Diceros bicornis minor: one gene and its partners. The protein of the gene in region 3 interacts with the protein of the main gene of each other region in a biochemical or structural test. Links are inferred from orthologs where the notes say so. Each region holds a gene or a part of one and is shown on either strand. Other genes may lie near its edges.

Region 1 (7,881 bases), on a different chromosome or scaffold from region 3:
TCTCTATACACTTCAACCAAACAACATAGCACAACAGACTGATGCAAAAGTAGATATGAGAATATTTCTTATTTCATTATTTAGTCTGGAAAAAAGTGATTTTTCATTTAAAAATATATTAACAAATAAGTTTATTTTTAATAGATTAATAAACTTTTTTTAATTTCTCATATAGCAAATATTGATAGATGTAGCCCACATAAACAAAAGCTCTTTGGGGTCCTCAATTATCTAAGAATACAAAGGGTTCTGAAAGCAAAAAGTTTGACAACCACTGCTATAACCCAACGAGGACTACAAAAGTAGAAACAAAGGATGCTTAACTCCAAAAGAAACAGAAGTCTTCACAGAGGAAAGTATACTGACTTGGAGACTGAGGAGAATATTTTTCAGTTTTCTCTTTTTGAGGGGTGGAGGGGAATTCAAGAAAATGGAATATTTCAATATGCCCTGGAAAAAGGTGAGTAGACTAATGTGATAGAAATGTGGGTAAACAGATAAAATTGAATAGGGAGTCTGAAGTTGGACTGGGAAGGGCTTGGCATGTAGATAAACTGCAGGGTTGAAGTTTATTTTATAGAAATTGAGAAGCCATCAGTGAATTTGGGTCTGAAGTACAATTTTTTAAAAAACTTGCATCTCCTGTGTCAAGACTTCCATATACTCAGCATACTTTTTTAAATCAAGTTTTGAGGATGGAGTACGAAGTTTAGCTGTGGAACAAAGCAAACTTTTAACATTTGGTGTGTAAGGCTCTAAGCCACGCCTCAGAGGAGGGCAAGTTTGATTCAACAAGTACGTATGTGTAAAACAACATACATATTCACATTTAATAGATGACCCCTGCTTTATTAAAAAATGCTCAAGTAACAGGGTTTATACTTTATCCTCTTAATTCAAACATACACCAAATACACATTGCTCCAAGTATACTGCAAAATAAACAGGACTCTAAACAGTTCTTTGCGTCTTATCTTTCTCTATTTTGTTGTCTTGCTGTCCACTCCTAGCTGCCCTGCAGGCAATGAAATGACATATTTCTGGAATATACTGCAGTGCTCTCAGTTCTGCTCTGCCTACACAAAAACAAAACAAATCCATAATAGGGACCTCTGGGATTGGAGGGGAAACGCCTCCCACAGGCAGACTGGTTGTTCTATGAGTCAAGCAAATACTTCTTGGCAGAAAGCCAAGTAAATAGAAAACAGACTTTGAAAGATGCTAGTCTATAACTCTATGACAATATATTTTTTAAAAATGTTCTGTGTTTGACCAATGTTTACATTCTTTTCTCTATGTCTCTGCCCCTTTGCTGGAAATAAAGCAACATTATGCTACCATAAACAAGAGGATTTTTTTAATGACAGAAGTATCTTCTCTAAAAAAGATTCATGCCATTCATTCACAGCACTGGATAAGCAACTATAATCCTGTATGATAACATATGTTGGTACAGAAACACTGGCTGCTTTAAAAAACATTTAAAGTTCAGATGAAACTACAACTACACTGAATGTTTACAAATTAAAGTCTCTATTCTCTTTTAGCATATCAGTAATTCCTTATCTCTTGCCACTCTGACAGGCAGTTACAACTCATAAGTACTTTTAATTAGGAACTGTTGAGAACTATCCGACAGCAATTAGCTAAGGCAAATACCCAAAAAGGGGGGGTTTTAAAAAACCCTAACAGAATTTAACACATAACCCTAACGTGGGGCTAGTTTAAGAGGTAACGCACTCCGCGCATTTGTTTTCCGTAAGCAGTACAAGCACTAAGATCCTAAAAACATTTTATGATCCCCACGACCGAATTCCTTCCAAGGCTTTAAGTCTTGGATGATTACATTTTAGCCCTTCTAAACTAGCTTGCTTCAACTTTACTCCAACTACCAGTCACCTGGGGTCAATGTGGAGCACTGACATCACCGGTAGGAGGCAACCGATAGGGACAAGCCCTTCAAGAGCAAAATTGACAGTAAGGAAACACTTTAATTTTTGCCATCTCCCGCTTCCTTTGCGCGGCCCAAGTAGCAACGTATCTTCAATTCATCTTTTGACCCAAATCTGGCGCCAGGTTTCAAAGACATTTTCGCCGGCTGCCACCAAAGGGAAGCGACGAATGGACAAGACTTCTTCCCATTGATCCTTAGAGGGTGGAAATAAAGCGAGGAGCGGTTGGAGGGGGACTGCAATCCTATCTTTCCCAGGGCCACTTTGTTTGCCCGACCTCCACTCGGGAAGGCGCTATCACACCGAGAAGTCTTCAATGCCATCAACGACCACTTTGATAGCGCTCTCCGCGCCGGGGGCTCACGCGGTGCCGGCGCTATCAAAGCCCCCAACCACCCGAAAAAGAGGCGGGCGCCCAACTACCCGGGAAACTCACCCAGTTTCTTCCACATGGCGAGGTGACAGGCGAGGAAGCCTTTGCGGATGGCAGCGCAAACCTTCGCCGGCTCCGACGAGGTGAACCCCTTCTGCTTCTTGATGAAACCCCATAAGTGCTCCCGGGCAAACTGTGCCGCCTCCCGCCCACCGTGCCCGTCGCACACGGCGAAAAATGCCACAGAGGAGCGGCGGCGGCAGCAGCGGCCGGGACCCGGCGAGGCCCCAGCGTCCGGCGGAGGGTCGCGAGCTTCTCGAGCTGCCCTCGCTGGGCCTTTCCCCGGGACTTCGCTGCCAGGAAGAGCCGGTGGTGACGGCTGCGGAGGCGACCGCGGCGGCGACGGCTTTTCTTCGGCTGTCGGCTCGGGCTCCACCACGATTTGAGTAACGTCCTCCATGTACTTCCTCCCGCCCTGGTCGGAGAAGACGCTCACTCCCAGCGAGTACAGCCCCGCCATGGCCGGCTGGCCGGGGTCCCGCCGGTCCCACGCAGCCCGCCGAATCCGGCGGCGGGAGACAGCCTCGGCGCTTGCCGGCCAACTATTGTTTACCTTCGACGACGCCGAGAGCGGGGAGGGGGCGGTCCCGGAGGGGGGGGGGGGCGCGCGATGTCGGGACTTGTCCGCGAGAGCTGGGCCGGAGCGCTAGGGCGAGAGGAGCCGAGCAGCTGCGCCTGCGCAATACGCTTCCCCCGCCTGCCCGCGCCCACCACACAAATCAGACGTTCTCCCCCGCTGTCGTCACTCGGCTCTCTGGGTCTGGCCAATCCGGAGCGGAGTTGGAGCGAACCGCCCTCCAAACCAACCCTCGCTCCTCCTACAACGGCCGCGCTCTCATCCCTCAGAGCGGGCTCTGCGCCCGCGCTCAGGCGTGTTCGCTTTCCCTTCGCAGTGGGTGTTTTCGGTAGATGCTGAGCCTTTGTCGAGCGACCTGGTGTCACCTTTTTGCTCAATCCCCGGGATCGTAATGCAGCCTGCTGCCCTTGACGTCCCGCCGGTCGCCTTGCGGGGAAAGCTGTGTAGCTTCGGGCCTCCCACGAGTGTGGAGAATCGGGGGGGAAAGACCTTCCTTTCCTTGAAGTGAAATGGCGGGAAACCTCCTTTCGGAAGGTCGTTTGTGAACAGGCTGGAAAAAGCGTGGCGCTCTTGAACTGGATTCGGGTGGGATGTATCCGACTGGGAGTTAAGGGAGGGGATCCAGTTTGTGGTGTTAAGAAAACTTGGGGAATTTCCATCAGCTACGCAGGGTCGTTTCACATAACCAGATATGTCGGAGACTCAAAATATTTTAACTAACTCTTAACAGATCTGTTCAGCTTCTGTTAAACGTGGCACTTTTTCCGACGAGCCCTGGGTACAGCATCGTACATCTTTGGTGGCAGTACTTCGAGTTATCACTGGAAAATAACTTACAAAAACTGCCAAGCTCTCCAGTGGTCTAACAATCGGGTTATCGTCCCCCCTCTTCGCCCGGTAGGTTACGATCTAAGCGCTAAAACCTTTGCACGGAGTTCCACGGAGTTAAAATAAGCCTCAGAGTGGCAGGTTAGCATCTTCTCAGCAGCAAGTGTTCTTCAGTGAACCGGTTTAAAGTTCACTTTTTGAGTTTCTGGCCACTTCACCATCAACTCTCCTGTGTGCCCTTTCCTAGACAGCCTTCGAGATTTTCAAATGGAATGATACTAGTACAGAAATGGGAATGGGAAAATGTTCATACAAACAATTGACACAAGAAATACAAATAGAAAAAAAAATCCTTATATGAATAAAAATATAAATAAGCAAAATCAGCTCAAAATGTAGATCTGAATAGATCAATTAAATTAAAAAGTGTAATCATAGATATCCCCTACACTAAAATGCAGTAGACCAGATGGTTCCAGAGTGTAAAAATACTTGGAAAAAATCCCAGGGTGTTTTCAAAGAGGATCATAATCCTGTTATCAAAACCTACAATTATACTACTAGAAGGAAATCTATAGACCATATTTCATGACTGTAAATGCAAAAATCCTAAGTGAAATATTAGCAATTCTAATCCAGTAGCCTCCACACCACCAGACTTGCAAGCGAGAACAGTTTATGTAGCTCCAATTCATCTTACACAGTTTACCCACCATCCCTCCCTCCACTTAGAGATTATGAAAAGATAATTCCATCATGCTTTACAATCCTAACCAACCATCCTAACCATTTCACTCCACACTTTAGATTTTAACATCTGTTATCAGCCGTTTCCCCTTTATTCTTCACCTGTTCTCTAAATCTTCCCATCAACTTCCTGTTCCAACTGAAAACTGGTTTATCACCTGACAAAACTACCCCCTTTGCAACTTTTCAAGTAAGGAGGTTATTTTCCCTCTCACAGATATTCTCATCTTTGAATCTGCTCTTCATGTTGTCTTCGAATCATTTCCCTTCCTTTATCCTGTAAAAACCCAAGCTCTTTTATAGTTAATGCCAACTGCCACTACACCAAGGTGCTGTCACCTACTGATCCCTGTAACTCCCCTTTCATCTGTTTTTGGCTCACTGTCTGCCTATCTTCCACTTTTCTTGTCACTTCTCAGCCACTTTCTTTTTCAAAATATCATCCACATTTTCCGTCCAGCATTTTGCCTTCTCCGTTTCTCGTCTTCCTCTTCATGGTGAAGTGGCCTTGCTACTATTAAAGGCAATCTCTCCATTTGTGTTCTAGATCCTTTCTTCTCTGCTTGAGAGCTTTGCTCCACCAATTATCCTTACTTGCTCCTACCTTATCAATTTCTCCTTTTCTGCTGGGTCATTTCCATTTGTGTACAAACATGTTCTGGTTTCTATTTTAACAAAAAAAGACCTGGACCCCTTATATTACCACATTTCTCTGCTCCCCTTAACAGGAAAAATTTTTGAAAGAGTTGTTTCTGTCCAGATTCTACTTCTGATTCCTACCTCATTAATTTCTCCCAAACCCATTCCAGTTAAGCAATCCCCATTATTCCACTAAGACTGTTTTTATGACATAATCAGACCTCTCTGTTTCCAAAGCTAATGATGACCTTTCTGTGTTGATTGACTTCTGTTCCAACTGAAGCAGCAAGCGGAACAATTGTTTCCTTCTTGAAACTTAGTAGCAGGTCAAACCGTTGCTTCCTTCTTGAAACTGTCTTTTCTTGGTTTATAAGAGACCACTCTATCCTGGTTTTCTTCCTACCTCATTGACTGACCACCCCTTCTCATTTTCCTTTGCTGATTTCTCCCCTGCTAGACTTTTTTTTTTCCCAGTTACCTTTTATTTATGGCAAATAATCCTGGTTTTCCACCTATATGATGATGTAATGTTTCTTTAAGAAATAAATTTAAAATTTTTTTATTGCGGTAACATTGGTTTATAACATTGTATAAATTTCAGCTGTACATCATTATACTTCTACTTCTGCATAGATTACATCATGTTCACCACCCAAAGACTAATGCAATCCATCACCACACACATGTGCCTAGTGCCTAATCATCACTTTCGCCCTCCTCCCTCCACTCTTCCCCTCTGGTAACCACCAATCCAATCTCTGTCTCTATGTGTATGTTTGTTGTTTTTATCTTCTACTTATGAGTGAGATCATAAAGTATTTGACTTTCTCCCTCTGACTTATTTCGCTTAGCATAATACCCTCAATGTCCATCCATGTTGTCACAAATGGCTGGATTTCATCCCCTGCTAGACTTTAGATTGTTGGGAGTACCCAAGGCTTTGTCATGGGCTCTCTTCTCTACCTATATACTGTAGGTAACATCATCCAGGACTGTAGCTCTAAAAACTGTCTGCTGATGGCTCCCAAATTTATATCTCCAGTCCTGAACTTACCCTGAATCTCAGACTCGATATGCAACTGCACACTTGACAGTTCCACATAGATATCTAATGAGCATTTCATCTTAACATGGCCAAAACAAACTCTTGATTTCTTCTTCGTATCTCCTCCTCCCTCAGTCTTACCCACATCAGTAAGCATCATCATCCAGCATGCTGTTTAAGCCAAAAAAAATAGGAGTTTTTTATCCCTCTCTTTCCTCCACTCTCCTTCCCCTCCCTAGCCCCACCAATTTCCAATCCTTTTAATTCATCAGCAAATGCTTTTGACTAAATCTTCAAAATCAGTACTGAACCCACTACTTCTCACTACCTCCACCACTACCATCCCAGTCCAAGCCCCTATTACGTCTCTGTACTTGGACCACTACATAAGTCTCCTTTCTTTCACTCTTGACCCTCTGCAATCCTTTTTTCACTAGCTGCTATCGCGATCTTTCAAAACCATAAATCAGATCAAGTCATTTCTCTACTCAATATACTTTGTGACTTCCCAGCACATTGAAAATAATATTTGGGGCCAGCCCAGTGGCTTAGCTGTTAAGTGCGTGTGCTCCACTACTGGCGGCCTGGGGTTCGGATCCCGGATGCGTACCGACGCACTGCTTCTCCAGCCATGCTGAGGCAGCATCCCACATACAGCAACTAGAAGGATGTGCAACTATGACATATAGCTATCTACTGGGGCTTTGGGGGAAAAATATATAAATAAATTAATTAATTAAAACCTCTTGAACTTTCTTAATATTTCCAGTAGTTTTATGCTCAGAATGTTCCTTTCACTTCTATTTAACTGAGATCAGTTAAATAGGACTAAAATATCATGTTTTCTTCTAATATTTTTACAGTTAAAATGTGTTTTTACATTCAAGTTCATCTGGAATTATTTTAGCATGAAGTGAATTTGAATCTTCCAAATAATGTGTTTCCCAATGTCTTTTGCGAAATGATTCATTATTTTATTGGTTAGTGATACTCCATTAGATAGTAAGTTTTTGTTTTTGTTTTTGTTTTTGTAAGGAAGCTCAGCCCTGAGCTAACATCCATGCCAATCCTCCTCTTTTTGCTGAGGAAGACTGGCCCTGAGCTAACATCCGTGCCTATCTTCCTCCACTTTATATGGGATGCCGCCACAGCATGGCCTGGCAAGCAGTGTGTTGGTGCCCGCCCGAGATCCGAACCCGGGCCGCCAGCACTTAACCAGTGCTGTTAAGTGCACGCACTTAACCGATAAGCCATGGGGCCGGCCCTGATAGTAAGTTTTTAATATACCCTTGGATCTATGTCAGGGGTAACTATTCTTATCCACTGATTGGTTTGGGAGTCATATCTTGCTTTTTTTTTTTTTTTTATAATTTTATTTATTTATTTGTTTTTCCCCCAAAGCCCCAAAGTAGATAGTTGTATGTCATAGATGTACATCCTTCTAGTTGCTGTATGTGGGACGCGGCCTCAGCATGGCCGGAGAAGCAGTGCGTCGGTGCGCACCAGGGATCCAAACCTGGGCTGCCAGCAGCGGAGCGGGCGCACTTAACCGCTAAGCCACGGGGCCGGCCCTCATATCTTGCTTTTAATTATTGACTTTAAAATCTTCAAACATATACTGGAAGAATTAATTTTAGAAGCAAAATAAGAATCTAATTAA
Region 2 (7,831 bases), on a different chromosome or scaffold from region 3:
ATTAAAATCCCTTTTCATTCTCTGAGTATTCCCTGACTGAACATTTTAAGATCTCCAACAAAGAATCCTCATGAGTAATAATAAACATTATTAAATGCTTGGTATGTGCTAAGGATTAAATTTCCTTACAATGGCTGTTTATGAGAAGTGCTATTATCTCTTTATTATTACTTCTTTATTATGAATAAAGAAACTGAGGTCCAATGAAGTTAAGAAACTTGTCAGAGCCACAGCTGGTAAAGTAATAAGCCACTGGAATCCAGACACTCTGATTCCAGAGCCTACACTCTGCACCTTTAACCACTAAGATATAGCACTACTCACATGCAGATAACAGCATATGCCTAAATGCAGTATACCATTTTCCTCCATTTTTAAAGATAATACTGATTGTGTGTGATGGTTAAAATGAGTAGCTTTCATCTTCGCAACACTATTTAGATCTAGGAAACTTAAAAACCTTTCAAGGGAAGGATCTAGGCCTCCAGGCCCACTTATAACCAAAGGGACACATTCTATACTCTGCAGAGTCTGCATAGGATAAAATCCCTGTGCCAGTGTTCAGCATGGGGTTCATTTAGCAAAAGAACTTACATCCCAGCTAATTGTATTTCCTGAGGTCCTGAAGATTTCAAGTGACCTGCAAACAGATATGAAGAGTTATTTTTGTCCAAGCATCTTGTCTTTCCTTCTGATTTTCTTCATTATCAGTAAGCCATATTATTTTCAAAAGCTGACCGTTACAACACAAAGTATCTTGTTAGGTACCAATTTCATAGTACAAGGTACACGTTCAAGGAAATTTAAGAATTTACATGTGTCACTGAAAGAAGAAATGCCGGGAAGCAGTGCACTATGTTAACCTACAGAGATTTTTTTCATGAGTAGAAAAGAAAGCTTATCACTCAGTAAATCTGAAATTAGAACAAATACTAAAATGGTTGACTAGTAAAACATATTCTTTTTAGGCACAGACTTTATAAAAACCGATAAGAATTAGTTGACAAAGTTTTTCTTTATGTTGGTTTCTTTGTCTCTGAGGACATTAGACTAGGGCATAAAACCTTTCATCTTAACTACTACTTTCATTCTCACAATCAATCAGTCAACAAAATATGCCTTCCTAACTTTTTCAAATGCAAAGTGGCTCCTATTAGTGTTATCTTTCTCTTCCCGTTGGCTTAATCATTCTCCTCAAAAATCCTCTAGGTACCCAAAGAATTCCAACTTCAAGTCTCGCTACCTACTTTTATCACCTTCCATCTCTATTCTTCTATCCTGTCCTCTCCCTTAAAAGTTATTCTCTCCCTTGAAGCCTTTACCGCCCTTCTCCCTACCAGTTTCATCACAGTCTGCAGAAGTGGTAAGCTGAATGGCAGACATCTCCCCACTGCTAAGATTCGAAAGATCAAGGCAACGTTTTGGAGTTTCTCTGTTGAGACATAATAGTACATCAAGATTCCCATTAGGTCGTAATATCCTTAAAAGACAAAGATCATGTTATCCTCTTCTTTTGAAATGTCTCTCGATGACTATCACATAATCCAAACAGTGTCCAAATAAATCTAATTGATTTTTGGAAATATCTCAGACCAGGCTGAGAAAAATCTCCCACCTTTTCTCTACTCCAATAATCTGTACTTCATTTTCTCCTCACCAACATACTGAGACAGGATAATTTTTTAAATTAAGGACCAAAGTTCACTGGCCAAGGTAAGTCTTGACCCCACCTCTTCTGCCCTGTGCACGGAGAGTACATAGGTTTGACTTCTCCCTGGGGTCGCTAAGTACTTCTCAGGTCCATTAACTCTCCAACTCTGCTAGCAGAGGCGTCAGGGCATGGCATAACCAAAATTTAAAGTACAATAACAGTAACACTAATATTAATACTACTAAAGTGACCAATTCATATAATGCAAGAGTTTTCAAAGACTTTTCCCAGACATCACATCGTTTGATTCTCACAAGATTCTCCTAAGATAGGATGGTATTATTATTTCTATGTCACAGAAAAGAGATTCAAAAGGGTCACACAGTTAGTCAAGGGCAAAGCTGAGACTTAAACCCTCATCTTTGAGCCTGCATAATTAAAAAACAAAACCAAAATCTAAAAATTGTTTAGAAAAGCAAAGGAGATAAGGCATGAAAAGAAAAGCTTTACCCAGACAAAATGCTTAGGTTTGCAGAATCACCAAAGAGTTTGTCCACTGGAGTCCTAGGGAGATCTGGACAGACGGTAAAGGAAGTGTCTCTCTCCAGGAGCAGATTTAATATCTTCCTCTGACTGGACCTAAAACTAGGTCCTGAGCCAGGGCTTCCTGCCTCTCTTGTGAATGAGAAGAGTTCTGCAGACATGGTCTCCGAGCTCTCCCTGAGAAAAAAAATAAAACCTAGCTAAGAGGCGAACGTCGTCTATACTGGCCAGCTTTCACAACCTCCACCACCCTTCCCAGCAGCAGCCAAGCGGATCAGTAATGGAGGAGGGGCATCCCCAAACGGTGAATCATAACTTGGCTTGATGGTTAAATCCCACTTGCCCAAAGAGGCTTGGCCTTTCCGTTGGAACCTGAACTTACCGAAAGGCAACCTCAGGACCCTAAAGAGGGAATAAAAAGAGGGTCTTCGACTTGTTCCGGGCCACACAGCTCGTGACTCCTGACCAGAAGGAATTCACGTCTCCTGACTCGCGACAATGCCTATTAGGTCTCCCGAACTTCCGTTTGCGGGGCCGGGACTGGACCCTGAGGGGACCATGGGGTCTCGGTGATTCCGTGGCGGAGATGGCTCCGGGCTTACCTCGGGTTTGAGTCTGAGACTCACCTCCAGGAGAAAGGGCGTGGGTGGAGATCAGACACAAGCGAAGACTCGAGCAAAATTAAAGGAAATCTGGGGAAAGGCGGCAATTAACTAGACTACAATTCTGCTTCTCGACTGGATAGGCCAAGGTCACGCTTTGCCGCTTCTCTCCGCAGAGCCGAAATTACAGCTTCGGTGCGAGAATATCAACAGCTACAAGCCTTAACCATTCAAACCTTCTACCCTCGGAATAACCTATCCCGCTCGCCTCTAAGCTGCGTCAGCCAATCTCCGCGCGCCCGCCCCGACCCGCGCCCCCCGCCCCTACCCCGGCCAATCGTTTGTCTCATACATCACCCGGGGCGTGAATTTGCTCTGTCGGGGACCAAGATTTGCCCCGCCCCTCAGCCAGAGCAGGATGCCGATTGGTCCACCAGCGTTCGGCAGGCGGCTAGGTAAGCTCCGCCCCTCAAGGAGCCCTGGCGCACCATTGGCTCTCCCTCTGGCCAATCGCCACGCCCTTCCTGAGCTCTCCCTTCCCTCAGCCCCTCCAACCCCGGGAGATTTAAATTGCACCTCGCCCCCGACGACCACTCGTTAGGATAACACCTGGAGATAATTGATTTCGGTGGGAAGGTGTTAAACATTTCTTTTTCCTTGCTGCTTTCTCTTGTCGTTAAGTGGACCTTTCCCTCTTAATTTTGCTAGCCTTCCGCTGGAGAGGCAGCATTTGCCCCTGGTGTGGCAGACGTTGAGGCGATACAGGTGTGTGTACGTATGCTGAGCGGCATTGGCCCCTTCCAAGAGCTTTCCTTGTTCAGTGTCCCTTTTAGCGTGCAGCATCTCTGAGATGCTAGGTTACGTGGGGCAAAGGAAATTCATTCTTCAGGGAAAGTAGGAGAGTTGAATCATCTCAGCATAATCCTTATCACAGTCCAAAGGATCCTAAACTTTGGTTGTTTATGGAAATTTGAACATTGACTAGGTGATATTAAGAATTTATTCTTAATCTTCAAGATTTGCTTTTATTTTATTTTTGTGTGTGTGAGAGGAAGATCAGCCCTGAGCTAACATCCAATGCCAATCCTCCTCTTTTTGCTGAGGAAGATTGGTCCTGGGCTACACATCCATGCCCATCTTCCTCTACTTTATCTGGGATGCCGCCATAGCATGGCTGGACAAGCGGTGAGTCGGTGCGCGCCCAGGATCCGAACCTGCGAAACTTTGGGCCACCGAAGAAGAGCGCACGCACTTAACCGCTGCGCAACCAAGCCAGCCCCGGAGATTTGCTTTTAAATGATCCCATGGAAGTGGTGGTGGGGATAGATGAAACAAAATTGGCCATGAATATTGAGTGATGGGTAACTGAGGGGTCCATTATATCAGTGCTCTCAAAGTTTAATGTCCATACTAATCCCTTGGGGATCTTGTTAAAATGCAGGTTCTGATTCAGTAGGTCTGGGTTGCTGCCCAAGATTTTACGCTTCTAACAAGCTCCCAGCTGCTGCTGATGCAGCTGGTCCTGGGACCATACTTTGAGTAGCAAGGCATTATACTATTCTCTTTACTTCTCTGTATATTTGAAATTTTCTGTAATAAAAAATGTTTAAAATAACCTTGGAAGCTCTTTAAAATGCAGACCCTCAAAATTATGATTCAACGGGTCTAGAGTGGGGCCTAGGAATTATCAAGGCCCCCAGGGGCTACTCATGCAGATGGCTTGCAGATCAAATTTTAAGAAACAAATTAGAAGTGCAACCTTTATCTTTGAGAAACAGAAAATCAGAAATACAACCTTTATTTGGTGTCAGGATCTTGGTGGTGGTAGTGGCTGAGAGGTGCAGTGTAGTCAGCTGGGTTTTACCCTTTTCATCTGTGGAATTTGCTTCCTGAGAAAGAAGGGGTGTGAAGAATCTTTGTCCTCTGGGATAGAGATGGTGAATGTGGGAATCAGCACAGATCCCTGCCATGCCAGGTGAGTTCGAAAATCAGGCTGGGGATTAAGGGAGTGTGGGATGAGTTGGCTTCTGTTTTGATGATTATAATCACACTCCATGGGGTCACTGTATACTTCCTTGCAGGTGGGAGGTAGAGACAGATGAAATCGTCCTACAACGGCGGCAAAAGCAGATAGATTATGGCAAGTGGACACCTGGTTACCAGTGCTTTCTGCAGCAGGTCCTCAAGTGAGTGCAGTTGTGAGTGGTCACAACAAGAGCATCAACCAAGCAGCTTTGGTTCAATGTCAGGTGATGGAAAGATACTAGAATCTGAGTGCTCTCACAAAGTTGCAGCATTACTAATACGAATTATCCTGCTGGGCCGGCCGTGTGGCTTAGCGGTTAAGTGTACACGCTCCACTACTGGCAGCCCAGGTTCGGGTCCCGGGCGCGCACCGACGCACCGCTTCTCCGGCCATGCTGAGGCCACGTGCCACATACAGCAACTAGAAGGATGTGCAACTATGACATACAACTATCTACTGGGGCTATGGGGAAAAAAAGGAGGAGGATTGGCAATAGATGTTAGCTCAGAGCTGGTCTTCCTTAGCAAAAAGAGGAGGATTAGCATGGATGCTAGCTTAGGGCTGATCTTCCTCACAAAAAAATAATAAAACTAATTCTCCTGCAATTTAGCCCCCAAAATAAGTTTCCAAGATTTTTTCAAATAGAAGAAGCCATATACTTGGCCCTTAAGACTTTTTAAAGCTTTATCCATGTTTGCTAATGAAGTTTTTTCCTTCTAACCATTTTTATCTCACGCCGCCAGCTGACTTGGCTAACTGCAACATATTTGCCTAATTACATGTAAGTTTACATGCATACCTTCAAACTAAATATATGAAAAGGTAGAATGCATTTTAAAGGGATATCAAATACTGTCTTATATATCTATCTTGACTTCTGAGGGAGTTGGAATATCTAATTTATCCTTCCCAGAAGAAAGAATATTAGGGAATTAGGAAGTTTGGTGTTTAATATGATCTGAAGATTTGGTTTTTCTGTTGGATTGATGGCATTGATCCTACCTCATTCTCAAGGAATTCCCTAACGAGTCTCCTGATTCATTGTGATGAAGCAGTGTGTTGTGCCCCTTCACCTTGACCTCAGTCTAACACATATTTGTCATTGCCAGAGCACAGTGACAGCCAGGACTTCACCCTCAAATGCCAAACAAGAACAGGAGGTACAGCTGTTGCTCTTGGGATGCCCAGATCAGGCAGTGGAGAAGAGCCCTACATTCCTGGGACCCCCCTAGCCAGCCTCTGCAGGGAGGGAGGCTGAGGGGTGTGTGCATTATTCCTGGTTCCTTCTGTGAGTGGTGGACTGAGCCCTACCTCTCCCCACTTTGCAGACGTTTAGCTTTCACTGGTTGAAAAGGGAGTCTGAAGGAGGTGTGTGTTCCTCTGACTCTGCTGCCTTCCTAGGCAGGGAATGGAGAGTCTCTTAAATGGATTTCACTCCTTTGGATGACCTCCTGGATGACTGGCTTCAGACTCTGGAACCCTCAGAGAATCTTGATGGAGACCAGAAGGGAGCCCAGGTAGTGTCCTCTGCTGAAACCCATTGGAGCAGCATCAGAGCGGGGTCTGGCCCATGAGGACACAATTAAGATGTGGTTCAAGGTAGTAGCCCAAGGGCCGGCCCCACGGCTTAGCGGTTAAGTGCGTGCGCTCCGCTGCTGGCGGCCCGGGTTCGGATCCCGGGCGTGCACTGACACACCACTTCTCTGGCCATGCTGAGGCTGCGTCCCACATACAGCAACTAGAAGGATGTGCAGCTATGACATACAACTATCTACTGGGGCTTTGCGGGGGGGGGGGGGGGAAGGTAGTAGCCCAAGAACAAAAGAAGGAAAATGGGGCAGCAGGAACAAATAGCTAGGACATGAGTAAGAAAAGCCTTGAGAACTAAAAGTGGCATAAGGAGATTTAATTATAGTTAGTAATGGGGAGGAGGTTGGGCTGCACTGGGGGCTATTTTATACTTGGTGAAAGGGGTGTAATCTTCCTTTGAAATGAGGCCTGAAACCTGACTTGCAGGTTTGGTTAAGTGTCTCAGTTTCTTTCAATGTTTTGCAAATAAGCCAATGCTAACTTCTTATACTCAATCATTTAACTTTAGTAGGCATGGTTAATAATAAAAAGGGGGATCACCTTGCAGTGAAGACCAACAGCTTTAGAGCCTGACTGCTGTTTTTTTTTTAATTTATTTTATTGATGTCTTAATAGTTTATACCTGTGAAATTTTGGTTGTATATTTTTGTTTGTTGATCACCATATACATGTCTCCCTTCACCCCTTGTGCCCACCCCCTACTCCCATTGCCCCTGGTAACCACAATACAGTTTTCTCTGTCCATGTGTTGGTTTATATTCCACATATGAGTGAGATCATACGGTGTTTGTCTTTCAGAGCCTCAGACTGCTTTTTAATACTACCTTTGTCCACCACATGGGCAGTCACTTAACCTCTCCAGCTATTTCATCTGTCAAATAAGGAGATTTTGTCTCATTTGATGATTCTAAGCAAAAATGAGCATATATATTTAAAGTATGTAGCACGGTGCCTGGCACATAAATGCTCCACAACAGCAGTTATTGGAAGCCATGTCTCCTGTACTTCATGCCCCCCCCCCCCTCCTTCTTTTGCTAAAGGGCAATGTGCAGGGCAAAGAAATGTGCAGTGCATCTTCCCTCCATCCCCATTTTCTTCATAACTACCTCACTTTCCCTCTACTCTTCTTTTTCAGTTTGCAGACTTGGTGGCTCCTGGCTCTGTGAGGAAGATTCCCACCACTGGCTCTACTTTCTAGCTGATCAGTTACTTATCTGTACCAGACTTGAAAGGGGAACAAAATATTTAGGGAAAACAGATGTCTTTCAGGGGACTTGTTGCTAAGTGTAATAGTGAAGATTACTTGCATTACTGCTACTTTCCAAACGATTAAAAAAGAAATCTAAAACTCTGCCCTACAAAGAGATCACAACACGAAGGCATTGTTTAAAACCTCTCCTTTTTCCATCTTTTTGCCCG
Region 3 (7,275 bases):
ACATGATCAGATTTGGGTTTCAAAAAGATCACACAAGTGACAGTGTAGGAATATATTAGATTGAAGGTCCAGATAAACCAGTCTGGAGTTACTGCAGGTGTCCAGATGAGAGAGAATGGTAGCAAGGAACAGGTGATGGCAGTGAAAATGGATGGATGGATTTGAGACACATTTAGAAGGTCAGCTTTTCAAGACTTGGTGATGCACTGTCTATGGGGGTAAGGGAGAATAAGTTGTCAAAGATGCCTACTCACTGTTTTGGACTTGTGCAGCTGGATAGTGTCACTCACTCAGAAGCGAACATCAGAAGAGGCATAGATTATTTTTTTGAGGAGGGAGGGGAAATGTTCATGAATTCCATTTTGGACACACTGAGTTGGAATATATAAACTCCACAAAGGCATGGACCATGTCTTTCTTGTTCACTGCTTTATCCTTAGTGCCTGATCCATGGTAGCCCTGCTATAAATATTTGTGAAAGTGCATATGTACTTTCCGTGAAAGTGCGTACTATTGGAGTGAGAACCCTGAGGACTTTTCTCCATGGCACAGTTAATTTCATGCGTCAACATTTAGGCTATGGTGCCCAGCTGTTTGGTCAAACACTAGTCTAGATGTTGCTGTGAAGGTACTTTGTAGATGTGATTAACATTTACAATCAATTGATTTTAAATAAGGAGATCATCTTTGATCATGTGGGTGGGCCTCACCCAAGCAGTTGAAGGCATTAAGAGCAAAAACTGTTTCCTGGAGAAGGACTTCTGCCTCAAGACTAACATAGAAATCTTGCCTGAGTTTCTAGCCTGCTGGTCTGCCCTACATATTCTGGACTTGCTAGCCCTCATAATCATGTAAGCCAATTCCTTAAAATAAATTACTTTTTCTTTCTTTCTCCATCTCTCTCTCTCTCTATATATACCTACATACATATACACTATTGGTTCTGTTTCTCCGGAGAACCATGACTGAAACACTATGGAAAAAAGTGGAAAGCAAAGCAATCTGGGATCAGAAGACCAAGGTTTCAATCTTTGCTCTGTAATGTGACCTTGGGCATTTCCATGAACTTCTGAAGCCTATTTTTCTTGTCAGAGACAATGATGTTATCCAAATGTCATGGGTAGGAAGGAGGATTGCAATCTGCAAAACACTACTATATTCTTGGTTTAAGGCAGACTTCCAGAGACTTAGAGATGTTGCAAGTCTAACTTCCAGACAAAATTGGTTTCAGTATAACCAAGAACAAAATTACTCTCTGAATCATTATGATGACCAATATGTACTCTTTATATTCATTTTTCACTTAACTCCAGACATGTACTCATAATGGCAATAAAATGAATTTGGTGGTATTTTATCTTTTACCTCTGACAACAGATTCAATCTCTTTCATGGCAGCTTCACTTTGAGCTTCTGTGAGTTTCTCATTCATTTCCATTATTTCCATGAGGAAATGCCTGTCCATTTCATAATCTGTCCCTTCAGGAATCTGTACTCCATGGAGCTTTAGCTATTGGAGCACAAAGCAGGGAAAACATAAGTCATATATATATGTAAGGTATAAATATAACTTATTTGTATTTATTATAAATAATAAGGTTCAAGAAACTATGGTCAGAGTCATAAATCCTACTCACCCTTCAGAACAGAATACCATTCACAGGGAAAACTTGAACTGTCCTAATAATGAAAGCGAGGGTAGGGTGCTGGAAACTTGGGCTGAGACAGGAGTGCTAGGATGGGATCCCTCTCTGCTACCTGGAACTGTGTGACCCTAGGGGAGTCACTCCTCCATTTGGGAGGCTGAAATAGATATTTGCAAAGATTCTATTAAATCCTAAAATTCTAAGGTGCTCACCTCCCCCCAAAAATACTCCCAAATTACTCTTCCCTAAAAGCTATCACCATTCAAGCCTTGAAATTTATAGAAAATAGTTTTAAAAAATGCAATTGGCTAAGTAAGATTTACAGAGAATGCTCAGAGAAAACTATATTTGTATAACGTCTTTGAGGCTAAATATCTTTGGTCCCTGGACTAGCTTAGGTCTCAAGCACTCCTCTGCTGAACAGAGAGGAGCAGCGGTCCCACAGCATAATGGACACCAGGCAGTCACACATGGGAAATCACCTTACAAGGTATAGTCCCCTGCTCAGGGGTGCCAGAAGGGTCTTATAGGCATCATTCACCAGGGTTGAATGCTTCTCTGAGAAGTCCTTTTCAGTCTGTTAGTGGAGATAAAGAAAGTCTTATTACCAACCAAATCAGCCATTTTACATTCACAAACTGTTTCATAAAATACCGAGGTGCAGGCACCTAAGAAGTGGTCAGAGTAGAACTGGGGTGGGATGAGCTGTCTTTATTTTCAGCTGATGGGTTCTAATTCTGCTGGAAAGTTGGGTAAAAGCTGTGAGTGCAGGGCAGGTCCAGGGCCTGGCCGGCCTGGGTCAGCGTGTCCCAGGGTGGACCGGGTTGTCCAGCTCTGTCTCTGATTATCACATAACCACAAGGCCACTGCCACCCACCCGGTGTGCACATGTGTTTTGGTATCATTAGGAGTGGCCAATAGGCTACCTGAGACCTCTGGCTGAAGAAATCTGGGTGGACAAGACGCTGCAGTTGCTGGTACCTTTGCTGGAGCTTCGCAGTGTCAACTCTGAAGGAGCGGTTGCTGGAAGGAAATTGGGAGAAGAAATTTATGCATCAAATATTTATAGATTTGTATACTATGGCCCTGGTTCCTGTTCTCATGGGGAAGAGGCAATAAAATGTAGACAGAGATAATTTCAAAAAGTGGTAGGTGCTGAGGGAAAAGAGAATAGAGTCAGAGAGAGTGGTAGATGTGGTTGACAAAGAGATGACATTTGAGCTGAGACCCGAATGATGAGGAGTAATCAAAGACCAGAGCAAAGAGTCATGCATGCAGAGGGACCATGCAAAGGTGGGAACAAGTTTGGTACCTTGAAGAACTTAAAGGGTAGTGTTATTGCAGCCCATCATAAGTGCTCAGTGACTGGCGGGAGCAGATCCCAGAGCTAAAGGGAAGGGGCATTCCCGAATCCCACCCTATCTTTCCAAAGCCCAGGTCTCTTCATCTCTGTCTCCCACTTATATTTTAATCCAATCCCTTTCACTTTCTATTCCCAGAGCCTGCCCTCTCTGCCCACCTTTACCACCTCTCCAAGCTCCTCAACCTTCAGAAGAAAATGGGAAATAACCACTCCTTTCTCAGACCCTCTCCCTCCAATTCTCACTTTTCCCTTAGACTCCGCCTACAATGTTAGGTTTTCTGTGCTTTTACTCCCTTATTTTGGATAACACCTCAGTACCGCTTTCTTAAAAGTCTCAACCCAATTTTAATCATTCTGACCCTATCCCTCAAATCTCCCGTCTCCCGTCCCTTAGGCCCCGCCCCCAACTCATCTTTCCCTCAGGCCCCGCCTCCCAACTTCTCTTTCTCTCAGGTCCCGCCCCTCGAGTCTCCCTCCACTGAAGCTTCCATCCTTCAATTTCCCCTAACTTCATTCCCCGCCCCTCCAGTCCTGCCTCCACTCTTGTGTCTATCCCGCAAAGTTCCTTCCCTCAGGCCCGCCCCTCAATTTCCTCTCAGGACACATCCCATCCTCCATTTTCCCAGACCCCACCCCCAGCCCCTGCTCTCTAGGGCTCCGCCCACCTATCTAACCCATTCCTCCTCCCTGACGAGGCTGAGCAGCCCTCCCCTCTCGCACGCCAGCCCCCGACATCCCTCTCGCCCTGGCGCGTTTCCCGAAACCGCCTCCCGTACCAGTCCATGAGGCTGAAGTAGTCTCGAGTGGGGTCAGGTGGCTGCAGCGCGCGGCACTGCGGACAGAAGAACCCGTCCCCCCGCATGGAGCCCCCTGGGCCGCCGCAGTTCCAACACCTGGGGGAGTTGCTTCCCGCCAGCGATGCAGCATTGCAGCCCAGCGGTCTCCTTCCGAGAACCCCTGCTGGCCACAACCCCCACACCCGGAGCAAGGCCCCTGCCCTCCCGCCCCACATCTGGCTCGCGGCCTATCTCGCCGCGTTCACCCGTGGGGGGAAAAGGGGAAAGAGCGGCCGACTAGACTAATGATGTTGATTGGCTGGGGAGCTGAGGGGGCGGGATCACCCAGGGGAAAACTGGATTCTGAGTCCCGCTCTGCGTTTTAAACTACAACTCCCAGCAAGCCTTTAGGCTCCGCGCGGACGGTCACATCCGCTGCTCCTCATTGGTCCGGCGGCGGCGGAGGGGTGTTTTGATTGGCTGAGGGTGGAGTTCGTATCTGCTCGTTTAGCGCCACTCGGGTGGCTGCGGCTGCTGCGAGTGTGCGACTCCAGGTGGGCTCACGCGGTGAGTCATAGTGGGGAACTTCTCTTGGGTGTTTGGGGATTCGAATCCCGTCCTCAGGGTCTTAATGCGAGCTGAATTTCCCGAGCTTCCGCTTTGTTCGGTTTTTGAGGTCGGGCGGTGGGGAGAGGAATGCGTGGCGACTCTCTTCCTTCTTTGTAGATCAACCTCGAGGTGAAGTTCACTTCCCCTGTTACTTGCAAGCTGAAACTGGCCCGAACATACAGGATAATAAGGAATAAAGTTGTGCTCTTCAAAATCAGAGCGAAGTTGCTTTGTAAAGAGTTCTATAAATGTTAGTAATTCTTACCATACTTTAGGATCAATCTCGAAAATAACCTATTAAGAACCCACTCTTAGCTGCTAGGCGCTGCAGGAACTGGAAACACACTGAGGATGTAGGAGGATGCCCTGCGAATGTCCATGAGTAAGTGTGTGGATGGGGTGGCGGGGAACGGGTAGGAGAGCACCAATCCTCCTTGGGACTGAGTTTCTCTATTTGAAAAAAAAAATTGTGTTGCACTTGTAAGGGCTTTTCCGGCTGTCGGATTCTTTGGGACTGGAATTCTCTTCTCTCAATTATCAAGCGTTACTGGGGAAGGAGCTTTCATGCATCATCTCAGTTAATCCTCCAGATCTATCTACTTTTTTCAGATAAGGAAATGGGCACAGAAAGGTTGTGATCTACCTAAAGGTCATGCAAAGATTTGACTCAGGCATCTGACTCCAGACTTGTTTGCCTCTAACCACTCCATTATACATTCTCCTCATGGCTGAGGCCAGCGTGGTCCCGGTCCCGTGGACCCTTATTTATCATAAGCGATGATAGCAGCTACCATTTGACACACTGTCTACCGGTTTTCAGGGCGGAGAAATCTTGCTCGAAAAGCTGCAGAAGGACACAGCCGGCTTAGGTAGTAGAGCAGCAGGTCCCGGAGTGGCAGACTCAGCTCTGGCATCACCTTGCTGGTGTGCTTTAAGGAAAATTCATCAGGACCTTTGTATCTGCAAAGCTGTGTAAATGCAATCAGTGTGAGTAATGTTTACTATGTTCTCCTTGAGTAGTGTGAGTGTGGGGATCTGGAGGAAATGCACCTTTTTTTCCTTACATCAGATTAGGGATTTAAAGTTAGGGATTGAAGGTGACTTGACTCTAAATTCTGTTATCAGAGTTGAACTGTCCATCAAATGAATTCTAAAGCAAGGGTGGGAACCTACCTGTGTTACAGTCTCCTGTGACTCAAAGAATAGTTTCTGCAGGATTCTGTCATGCTGTGAGGCCAGTTAGGATGTTGATAAGTTGAGCCCCGTAATTACTTAGCATCACAAAGGGCTAGGTGGAGTTGTTTAGAGCAGTCTTCTTTGTATTCTGCCTCCTTAAGTGGCTCCGCTCTTAGGTAGGAGTCAAGGAATCTACAATGAACAACGGGACAGGAGTCCTACCCTCCAGGAACTGGCTTGGGGGAGAAGGGGCATCAGTGACATTTTATGTAAATGGCCACCCCTAGAGTGTCACAGGGAGTTAGAGTACAGTTTCTTGTTGCCCATCTTCTACCCCAGGCCACCTGACCCATCCCCTTCTTTCCCTTTCCAAAACATATAGGAAATTTAAGTGTAGTGTTGATTGTATTAATGACTGTTTTAAATTTCATTTCTAATTTTTTAAAATTGGGTGAATGTAAGCTGTTACAAGTCTCTCCCTCTCCCCAACTCAGTTTCATTGCTTTTTAGTTATCTATAGCCTTCAAATAATTTTTTGTTTCTTTTCCCTGTGGTTTGTGGCTGTCAGACAAAAAACTGATCCGGTGAAAGTGATGTGATGAATAACTCAGTCCAGAAGAACTATAGGTCTAGACTGTTAGAATTTTAAATTTTGCAGAGCATGCTTGCTCTGGATTTTTTTTTTTTTTTTGCCATTGTAGTATGCCCATCCTTCACTCTTGAACTTTAAGTCTTGTTCCTTGAAACTCACCTTATTGTTGGACACTTTCCTTGAGGTCGTGATGTCTCAGAAGAAGGATGTGGAGCATCAGCAGTCCCAGGGCAGTGGTGCCTGCTCACAGTCCCAAGGCAGCTTCTCGCAGCCCCCTGGGCTCTCCTCACAGACACAAGGCTCCTCTTCACAGTCCCAGGGCACGTCCAGCTCCTCCACCAGCACAGCGCCCACGTCCAGCCAGTCCTCGCACTCCAGCTCGGGGACAGTGAGCTCCTTAGACACAGTGTCCACTCAGGAACTCTATTCTATTCCCGAGGACCAAGAACCCGAGGAGCCTGTCCCTGCCCCTTGGGCTCGATTATGGGCCCTTCAGGATGGATTCTCCAATCTTGGTAAGACCCTTTGTTGTATAGTGTAATATTTTGTTCAGAAAAACAGTTAATGGAAAGTTGTTGCAACAGAAAGCTCAAGATGCTCCTGGAGTTCAAAGGTGATGAAAGGTGAAACCAGGGACGCAGTTTTGGGTAGCGCGTTGGCTCTTAGCTGCTGTGGATCCCCTTCATTTTTTCTTTTAACAAATATTAATTGGGGATCTGCAATGTGCTGTCCATCTGAGCATCTGAAGAGAGCTGTGGACCGTGTCCCTAGAAAAATGCAGATTCACTCAAATTTGCACATATTTACCATTTAATCACAAAAACTTCACCACTGAACCCCTGCTGTGGTATGCTGCAGCTTCAGAGCATCAGTTTTACACTTTCAGAATAGAGAAGGCTGTTTGATCACCACCTATTATTTGTTTTTATCTCCAAATAGGCAACCCTGCAGCTAAATACATTCATCCTCTCTGACACCTGGTTCCAGTAGTAAGGCATTGCTCTCAGCATGTTTTTTTTGTGTATGTGTGTGAGGAAGATCAGCCCTGAGCTAACATCCATGCCACCCAATCCTCTTTTTTTTTTTTTTCCTGAGGAAGACTGGCCCTAGGCT
Region 4 (7,127 bases), on a different chromosome or scaffold from region 3:
GCTTCGGACCGAGATAGGAGCAAGATTTCCTCCATGCGTTTTTTTGTTATTATTTAAATTTGTACCATGTAAATGGACTGCCTACTCGATAAATAAATAAATAAATAAAAGTCAAAGCTCCCCAGATGTTTGCAATGTAGAACCAGAATTTGGGAACCTCTGATTCCAGGTACTCCTCCTTACCTCGACAGTACCTAAGACACTGGTTATATAGCTTCCTGGGCTATTTATTCCATCTTGAAAAGCTCTGGTAGTTCTGGCTTTCCTTCTTAGTGTTAAACTGAAACCTTGTAGCCTCCAAGGAGGCTCATGCTGCTTCCTGTAACCATGCAGAATAAATCCAATCCTACTACTAGCACAGTTGTGTGAAAGGAGAATGGGCACATGTAAACCATTGAATGGAAAAGGAATGTTTCTTTTTCTACAGAAAATAAGCCTAATAAATTGATGGGAAATTTTTTTTGTTGTTTTTTACTTTTTTTGTGTGTGTGAGGAAGATCAGCCCTGAACTAACATCTGCCAATCCTCTTCTTATTTGCTGAGGAAGACTGGCCCTGGGCTAACATCCATGCCCATCTTCCTCCACTTTATATGGGAGGCCGCCACAGCATGGCTTGCCAAGCGGTGCATCGGTGCGCGCCCAGGATCCTAACCAGCGAACTCCGGGCCACTGCAGCGGAGCGCGTGCACTTAACCGCTTGCACCACCGGGCGGGCCCCAATTTACTTTTGTCTTTAACAAGGGGAATACTTTCTCCAAATAAAATCTACAGGGCCCTGTGATATATAATGCAAATTTAAAAGCTGAGTTTCTGTGGCTCCCAAGGAGTGGCAGGGAGGAGCCAGGAGCCCTGCTGGGGTACCTCACTGCTTGAGAGACACAGTTGTATTCCACCTCTCTCACCACTCACAGGTAGAAACTGAGGCCTACTTCTCCCCCTCTGCATCATCTCCTCCCTAGTTCAAGTTACCACCATCTCACGGTAGGACCTTGTGATCCCCTCCAAACTGGTCTCCCCAGCTCTACCATTGCTGCTCTCTAATCAGTTCTCCACTCTGCAGCCAGGGTTATCTTTTCAAAATGTAAATGTAAACCTTTCAATTGTTTCCCATTGCCCTTGAGATAAAGTCCAAGTTCCAGAATGTTTTCTACAGCCCCTGCAGAGTCTGGGCCCTCCCCAACCTCCTCTTCTTCCACTGTTCTCTGCCACACACAGGGGACGCCTTCTAGCCTCAGAGCCTTTGCTTAGGGCCTGTCCCTCTGCCCAGAACACTCTTTCTTCCACTTTCTAAGGATTTATCCTTCTGGACACCTCCTCAGGGATTCCCTGATGTACCAGACCAGATCAGATTCCCTTCTTAAACACTCTTAAAGCATTCACACTTTTTCTTTGCAGCATGTATTCTGTCTACATGTACTGAGGGGTCCCCTGAACCAGGTAGTGGGTGGTACTATAGTAAGGAAAAGAAAGGCAGGTCCCTACCCTTTCAAGTTTATAGTCATTTGGGGGTACTCACCCTGATTAAATACTCACAGAAACAAATGTAAACATGCAGTGCCTGGAAGGTGGATGATAACAGGGGAATGTATCAGCCAGGGTGTCTGAGGGTAAAGCTTACCTGGGAAAGGTGGGTGTTAGCTGAGTGAAGTGAGTATGGCAGTGAGGAGGGCATTCCAGGCAAATCTCCAAGGAAGCACTGACCCTATCTGTTTGGACCTAGCAAACTGGTAGGCTCTCAGTAGACAATGAATGAAGGAGTGAGCAAAAATTTATTTGCCCCAAAGTAGAACCAGATTAGAACTCAGACCTTCCAATTCACAGTGCAGGGCTCTTCCCTTCCCCTAGTGCTGCTCCAGGATTTTGGAGACCATGCCTAAGTGAATGAGGAAAAGAGTTTGGTTAAATTACGCTTTTCCTTTTGCTTCCATTTCACAATTGAAGATGCCCAAACATAAAAATCACCCTCAACACTTCAGTCAACCTTTATTTTTGTGTGTCTGTGTGAGGAAGATCAGCCCTGAGCTAACATCCATGCTAATCCTCGTTTTTTGTTTTTTTTTGTTTGCTGAGGAAGACCGGCTCTGAGCTAACATCTATTGCCAATCCTCCTTTCAACTCCCCCCAAAGCCCCAGTAGATAGTTGTATGTCATAGCTGCACATCCTTCTAGTTGCTGTATGTGGGACGCGGCCTCAGCACGGCCGGAGAAGCAGTGCGTCAGTGCGCGCCCGGGATCCGAACCCGGGCCGCCAGTAGCGGAGCGTGCGCACTTAACCGCTAAGCCACGGGGCCGGCCCTCAGTCAACCTTTAAGAAGGAAAAAAAAACAATGGTTCTCTGACATTTCTTACACCAAGTTTTTATTTCAATACTTGGACTTGCTGGTGGAAATACTCCAGTATGTTAATCCACTTGGGCTGATCCCATTCAGGGAATGTCCAGCAAGGAGGGAGGGCTTTCCATTCCTTTATTTGACCGTGAAACAATTATTGACTGTATACTTACAGTGCACACACATACAAAAAGTTCAAAATGTTGACAATTGTTTCTCTGAAGATGGTAGAATTACAGATGATTTTTAAAATTACGCTTATCCGTATTTCCTAAGGCTATAATTATTTTGTATTATTTGCATAATACAAACCTTTGAAAACAAAAGCTTTTCAAACAAATATTTAATAAGTTTAATGGTAGGTCTTACGCAGAGGTAGTAGTCATAATCTCTACCAAACACCTAAAATAAATATACAATTTGGAGGCCAGCCCAGCGGTAGAGAGGTTAAGTTCACACACTCCCCTTCGGCGGCCTGGGGTTCACTGGTTTGGATCCTGGGGACAGACCTACTCACCACTCATCAAGCCATGCTGAGGCAGAATCCCACATAGAAGAGCTACAACTCTACAACTATGATATACAACTACGTACTGGGGCCTTGGCGAGAAAAAAGAAAAAGAGGAAGACTGGCAACAGATGTTAGCACAAGGCCAATCTTCCTCAAATAAATAAAGAAATATACAATCTAAATAAGCAGAGTGTCTGTTCTAAACATGCTGTCTAAAGACAAGTCCTCTTGCAGCCTGATTGCTGTACCAATGCCCCTCTACTAAAATCATTTATTCTAGGAGCTGCCACTGGAGCAGGGGATATAAAAATAAATACAGTCACCTATAAAACGGGAATAATTCCGCTCAGTGTTGTTGTAAGGATTCAATGAATTAAGACAGATAAAGCACTTGGAACAGTGGCACATAAGCACTATATAAGCGTTAGCTATTATTATATTTATGGTACTGCTAAATAGGAGCAACCAGTGGGGTACCAAAGGGTGGCAGAGAAGGAAATGATTCTGAGAAAATATAATAGGAGCTAAAATGGAAGTGCGCTAAGATTACTGAGGCCCACGGCCCAGGCCGGATTGTAGGGTCAAGTCTTGCCGTCAGCGGCTTGTGGTCGCCACAGCCTGCAGGATCTTTGATGGCCCGCTGGACAGAAGCGGTGGACAGGAGTGTTAGCGCCCGGAACTTGGGCCCTGCTGTCGGGAGGCAGAGCCCAGTCCTCGGGTCATTCAGTTCCCTCCCTCGTTATAAAACCGCGGCTGAGAGGCCCAAGGCGTAAGAGAGGGGTCCACACTACTGCACGGTTATAAGTCGAGTCACGGCTGGGTCCAGCCGGGTCCCCAGTGGCTAGCACAACCTTCTCCATCTTCCACACTCCCTCAGCCTATGGGACTCGGGACTCCCCGGCCCAACGCGGGTTGGAGGTCACCTGACCGCTGCGTGACGTGCAAACTACGCTTCCCAGCATGCAACGGGTGAAGAGGCGCCTTCCGGTCAGGCCGGAGCCTCGCAGGTTCTGCCGGGAGTTTTCATTGACCTCTGAGCTCCTTCTCGTTCCGAGCAGCTCAGGTCTCCTCTAGGCCCCGCCCCTTTCTGAGAGCTGGTGACCTCGCGGAGTCCCGCGAGCTGCTTCCTTCTTCCCCTCTCATTGGTCCAGTCTAGCTGCCATTCGGGTGCGAGGAGGAGAAGTTACTTACTGATTGGTGGATTCCGTTTGGCGCCAACTAGGAAAGGGGGCGGGGTAGTGGCGGTCCCCAGTGAGCAGCTATTACCGCGAAAGGCCACCTTGGCAGCGACAGCCAGAAGGAGGTGAAGGTCGGCTTGGTTCTCTGCAACCTCGGGCTGGGCAAGGGGGTGAGAGAAAAGCGAGCAGAGTGTGAGCCCAGGCGGTTGACTCGCGGCTCTGGCCGCTCTCCCTTCCTGACCCTCCGCGTTTGTTTGGATTTAATCTTCAGGTTGCCGGCGCCCGCCCGCCGCTGGCCTCGCGGGGTGAGAGGGGAGCACCCGTGCGTGTGGCTGGCGCCTACCTGGTCCGGACACTCGCCCGTCCGCGCCGCTTGCCCGCGGCAGCCGCGTCCCTGAACCGCGACATCGTGTTTGTGTTTGACCCGCGGGCGCCGGCTAAGGGGCGCGCGGCCGAGGCCAGTGCCGGCGGGGCGGGGCGGGCGCGGCGGAGGCGGAGGAAGAGGGAGCGGGAGCCTTGGGAGGCTGGGTGCCGCCATGGAACTGGGCCCGGAGCCCCCGCATCGCCGCCGCCTGCTCTTCGCCTGCAGCCCCCCTCCCGCGCCGCAGCCCGTCGCAAAGGCGCTGTTCGGCGCGCCAGCCGCCGGGGGCCTGTCGCCTGTCACCAACCTGACGGTCACCATGGACCAGCTGCAGGGGTTGGGCAGGTGAGGAGGGACCGGCGAGCAGTGCCGCAGGCCGCTGGCCTCCCAGACGGCTCTCGGGGAGATCAGGCCGGGAAATGGGCCAGGAGAGGGGCGAGACCTGCCGCCCGCATGAGGCGGGGGCTCACCATGTGCACCCTCCCCATAGGCGGAATGTTGGGCGGGAGAGGCCGTTCGGATCCTCCAAGACCGCCCTCAATCCCCAAGCCAGGCCCGGTAGTGGGTGAGAACGGCCACGGCTCCCCACCTTCGCCACCTCTTTCGGATTGCCCTGTACTCTTCTGTCCCTATCCCAGGAAGCTCTTTGACATCTAGCCCCACGGGGGAAAAGCAGGCCCTTCTAGGCGCTCACTTCCACCCTTTGCTGAACCACCTCACAGGATCGTAGTTTCCTGTGAGCTTTGTTCCTTCTCAACAAAGAGAAGTGGCATTTTCTTTCCTGGCGTTTGCGCAAAATCGTCGCAGTCTCTCGCCCCGTGCACATTCCTTATGTCCACCCCGGTGGTTTCCGTAATAAGGCCAGGCCTTTTTACTCAACTTTCCGTTCTCAAAAGCTCCCTAAACTTTTCCTTGTAGCAACAAATGCATCCTACAGTGTTTCTGGTGAAGCTGTTTTCCCTTCAATCTTGGACATCCCATTTTCTAAGTAAGCACGTGACTTATACGTTTTCCAACCTCTGGAAAGCAGGAATTTGTCCTATTCATCTTTCATCCCAGCTCCTAGCACAGTACCTAGAACACATGCTCTCATTTCAGGAAATACTCCAACAATCATCATAGTCATCCTGTCCTACAATGTGACCCAGGCCATGCCCACCCACTCCTTTCTCATCTCCCTTTATGCTCTAGTGCTAACTGGCGGTTCTGGGTGGCAAAGTGTTCTGTGGTGTGGCCTGGAAGTTATGATGATTGATGGCAGCCTGCCTACTAGCTAACCTCATGGCCTGTCTCCTGTGTGTAACCTTTTAATTATGTCCTAGAAATATATAGAGAGAATTATTTCTCTTGGTTTCAGTGAGTGTGAACAGCTACTGGAGGTGAAAAACAGCAGTTTGCAGAGAATGGGTTCCTCCGAGTCAACCGATTCAGGTATTCCTTTGGTCTTCGATATTTATCATGTGTCTGCTTTGTGGGAGCAATACTTGGAATTTGCTGAAACATGCCCCTTCACCTAAGAACTTAGTTTGGTGAGTAGTTGAGACAATAAACAGAGAAGTCATGGCATTGAGTGACTAATACCCTTAAGAATAGTACAAAGGAGTCCCAGTGGCAGTTTATGAAGAGAAGAAACAAGTGTCTGCTAGAAGGTGGTGTGTGTTTGGTCTTGAGGATGCGTAGTAGGGTAAAATTAACCATACCACTGTAAGTGGCATTCCAAAAATCTCATTGGTTAAAATACAGGGTCAAATTGTTGGCATCTGAAATATAATGAAATTATTTCAGTGAGCCTGCCTGCTGTGGAGGAAATTTGCCAGTGCATTTTATTCTAATTTATAAATTCATGTTACTGCAGAGTTTATCTGTATTTGCACATATGCTTTAGGTTAGGAAACTGCAAGAGCAAGTCTTCAAATGTAGGCATAAGAACTAGGGATAGGATTCTCATTTGTGGCAGTGTGGCAAGGGAGAATACCAGTCAGGAGCTAACACCTAACTTCCTGTAAGGTTATATAGACATCATGGAGGAAAGGTATGTGCTAGGCAGGCACTGGTGGGTCTGGGCCACGCTGAGCAGTGTCTCCACCCTGCTGCCTTTGGTGAGATGGTCACCTCACTTGGTGTTATTTTGTTGAAGTCAATAAATACTTGCCTTGCTTGTCAGATGACATAATTGTATTTTCCAAACCCCAACATTGTGCATATGATCAGACAAAATAAAATACTTGAAATCAAAACTATTCCAGAAAACTGGTACCTATTCTTTCCATGGTTGGAACTCACATTTAGAAAGTTACCTGGGTAACCTCTAGCTGAATAACCAAGCAATCATGAGAAGGTTTGGTTTAATTCACACTCTTGAGGGCCGGCCCCGTGGCTTAGTGGTTAAGTGCGCGCGCTCCGCTGCTGGCGGCCTGGGTTCGGATCCTGGGCGCGTACAGACACACTGCTTCTCCAGCCATGCTGAGGCTGCGTCCCACATACAGCAACTAGAAGGATGTGCAGCTATGACATACAACTGTCTACTGGGGCTTTGGGAGAAAAAAATTAATTAATTAATTCACACTCTTGATGGTATTTGCAAGGAAAGGGGGATTAGTAGATATACTATGAAAATATTAAGACTTGGGCAAATATAAAGTTTTTGACAATCAAGTAGAGATACAGCTTCAATTCTGGCAAAAGTCCAAGCCATAAGTTTCTGTTGACTGGCTTAAAGAAACAGTACTAGTAGTTTTATTTATTT

The links.
Region 1: of the proteins of CHEK2 (region 3) and PPM1D, one has a biochemical effect on the other in vitro, tested with the Homo sapiens proteins (2 studies listed by BioGRID, with this or other methods). The link is inferred for Diceros bicornis minor from reciprocal best matches to the Homo sapiens genes CHEK2 and PPM1D.
Region 2: of the proteins of CHEK2 (region 3) and CDC25C, one has a biochemical effect on the other in vitro, tested with the Homo sapiens proteins (14 studies listed by BioGRID). The link is inferred for Diceros bicornis minor from reciprocal best matches to the Homo sapiens genes CHEK2 and CDC25C.
Region 4: of the proteins of CHEK2 (region 3) and CDC25A, one has a biochemical effect on the other in vitro, tested with the Homo sapiens proteins (5 studies listed by BioGRID, with this or other methods). The link is inferred for Diceros bicornis minor from reciprocal best matches to the Homo sapiens genes CHEK2 and CDC25A.

What each region holds. Positions count from the first base shown.
Region 1 is NC_080757.1:26,535,831-26,543,711, reverse strand, and holds the start of PPM1D (protein phosphatase 1D), read right to left. Parts: upstream 3,016-7,881; 5' UTR 2,846-3,015; coding exon 2,389-2,845; intron 1-2,388. UniProt on the Homo sapiens protein: Involved in the negative regulation of p53 expression. Required for the relief of p53-dependent checkpoint mediated cell cycle arrest.
Region 2 is NC_080740.1:56,902,906-56,910,736, forward strand, and holds the start of CDC25C (M-phase inducer phosphatase 3), read right to left. Parts: upstream 3,010-7,831; 5' UTR 2,797-3,009; intron 2,784-2,796; exon of another isoform or gene 2,577-2,783; intron 2,372-2,576; 5' UTR 2,356-2,371; coding exon 2,162-2,355; intron 1,433-2,161; coding exon 1,338-1,432; intron 641-1,337; coding exon 595-640; intron 1-594. UniProt on the Homo sapiens protein: Functions as a dosage-dependent inducer in mitotic control. Tyrosine protein phosphatase required for progression of the cell cycle. When phosphorylated, highly effective in activating G2 cells into prophase.
Region 3 is NC_080774.1:22,521,192-22,528,466, reverse strand, and holds the start of CHEK2 (serine/threonine-protein kinase Chk2), read left to right. Parts: upstream 1-4,265; 5' UTR 4,266-4,352; intron 4,353-4,376; exon of another isoform or gene 4,377-4,709; 5' UTR 4,710-4,776; intron 4,777-5,214; 5' UTR 5,215-6,352; coding exon 6,353-6,677; intron 6,678-7,275. Other genes in the region: iron-sulfur cluster co-chaperone protein HscB, read right to left, coding at 1,366-1,510, 2,134-2,223, 2,573-2,669, 3,786-4,021. UniProt on the Homo sapiens protein: Serine/threonine-protein kinase which is required for checkpoint-mediated cell cycle arrest, activation of DNA repair and apoptosis in response to the presence of DNA double-strand breaks.
Region 4 is NC_080741.1:49,428,019-49,435,145, reverse strand, and holds the start of CDC25A (M-phase inducer phosphatase 1), read left to right. Parts: upstream 1-4,109; 5' UTR 4,110-4,556; coding exon 4,557-4,726; intron 4,727-5,738; coding exon 5,739-5,812; intron 5,813-7,127. UniProt on the Homo sapiens protein: Tyrosine protein phosphatase which functions as a dosage-dependent inducer of mitotic progression. Directly dephosphorylates CDK1 and stimulates its kinase activity. Also dephosphorylates CDK2 in complex with cyclin-E, in vitro.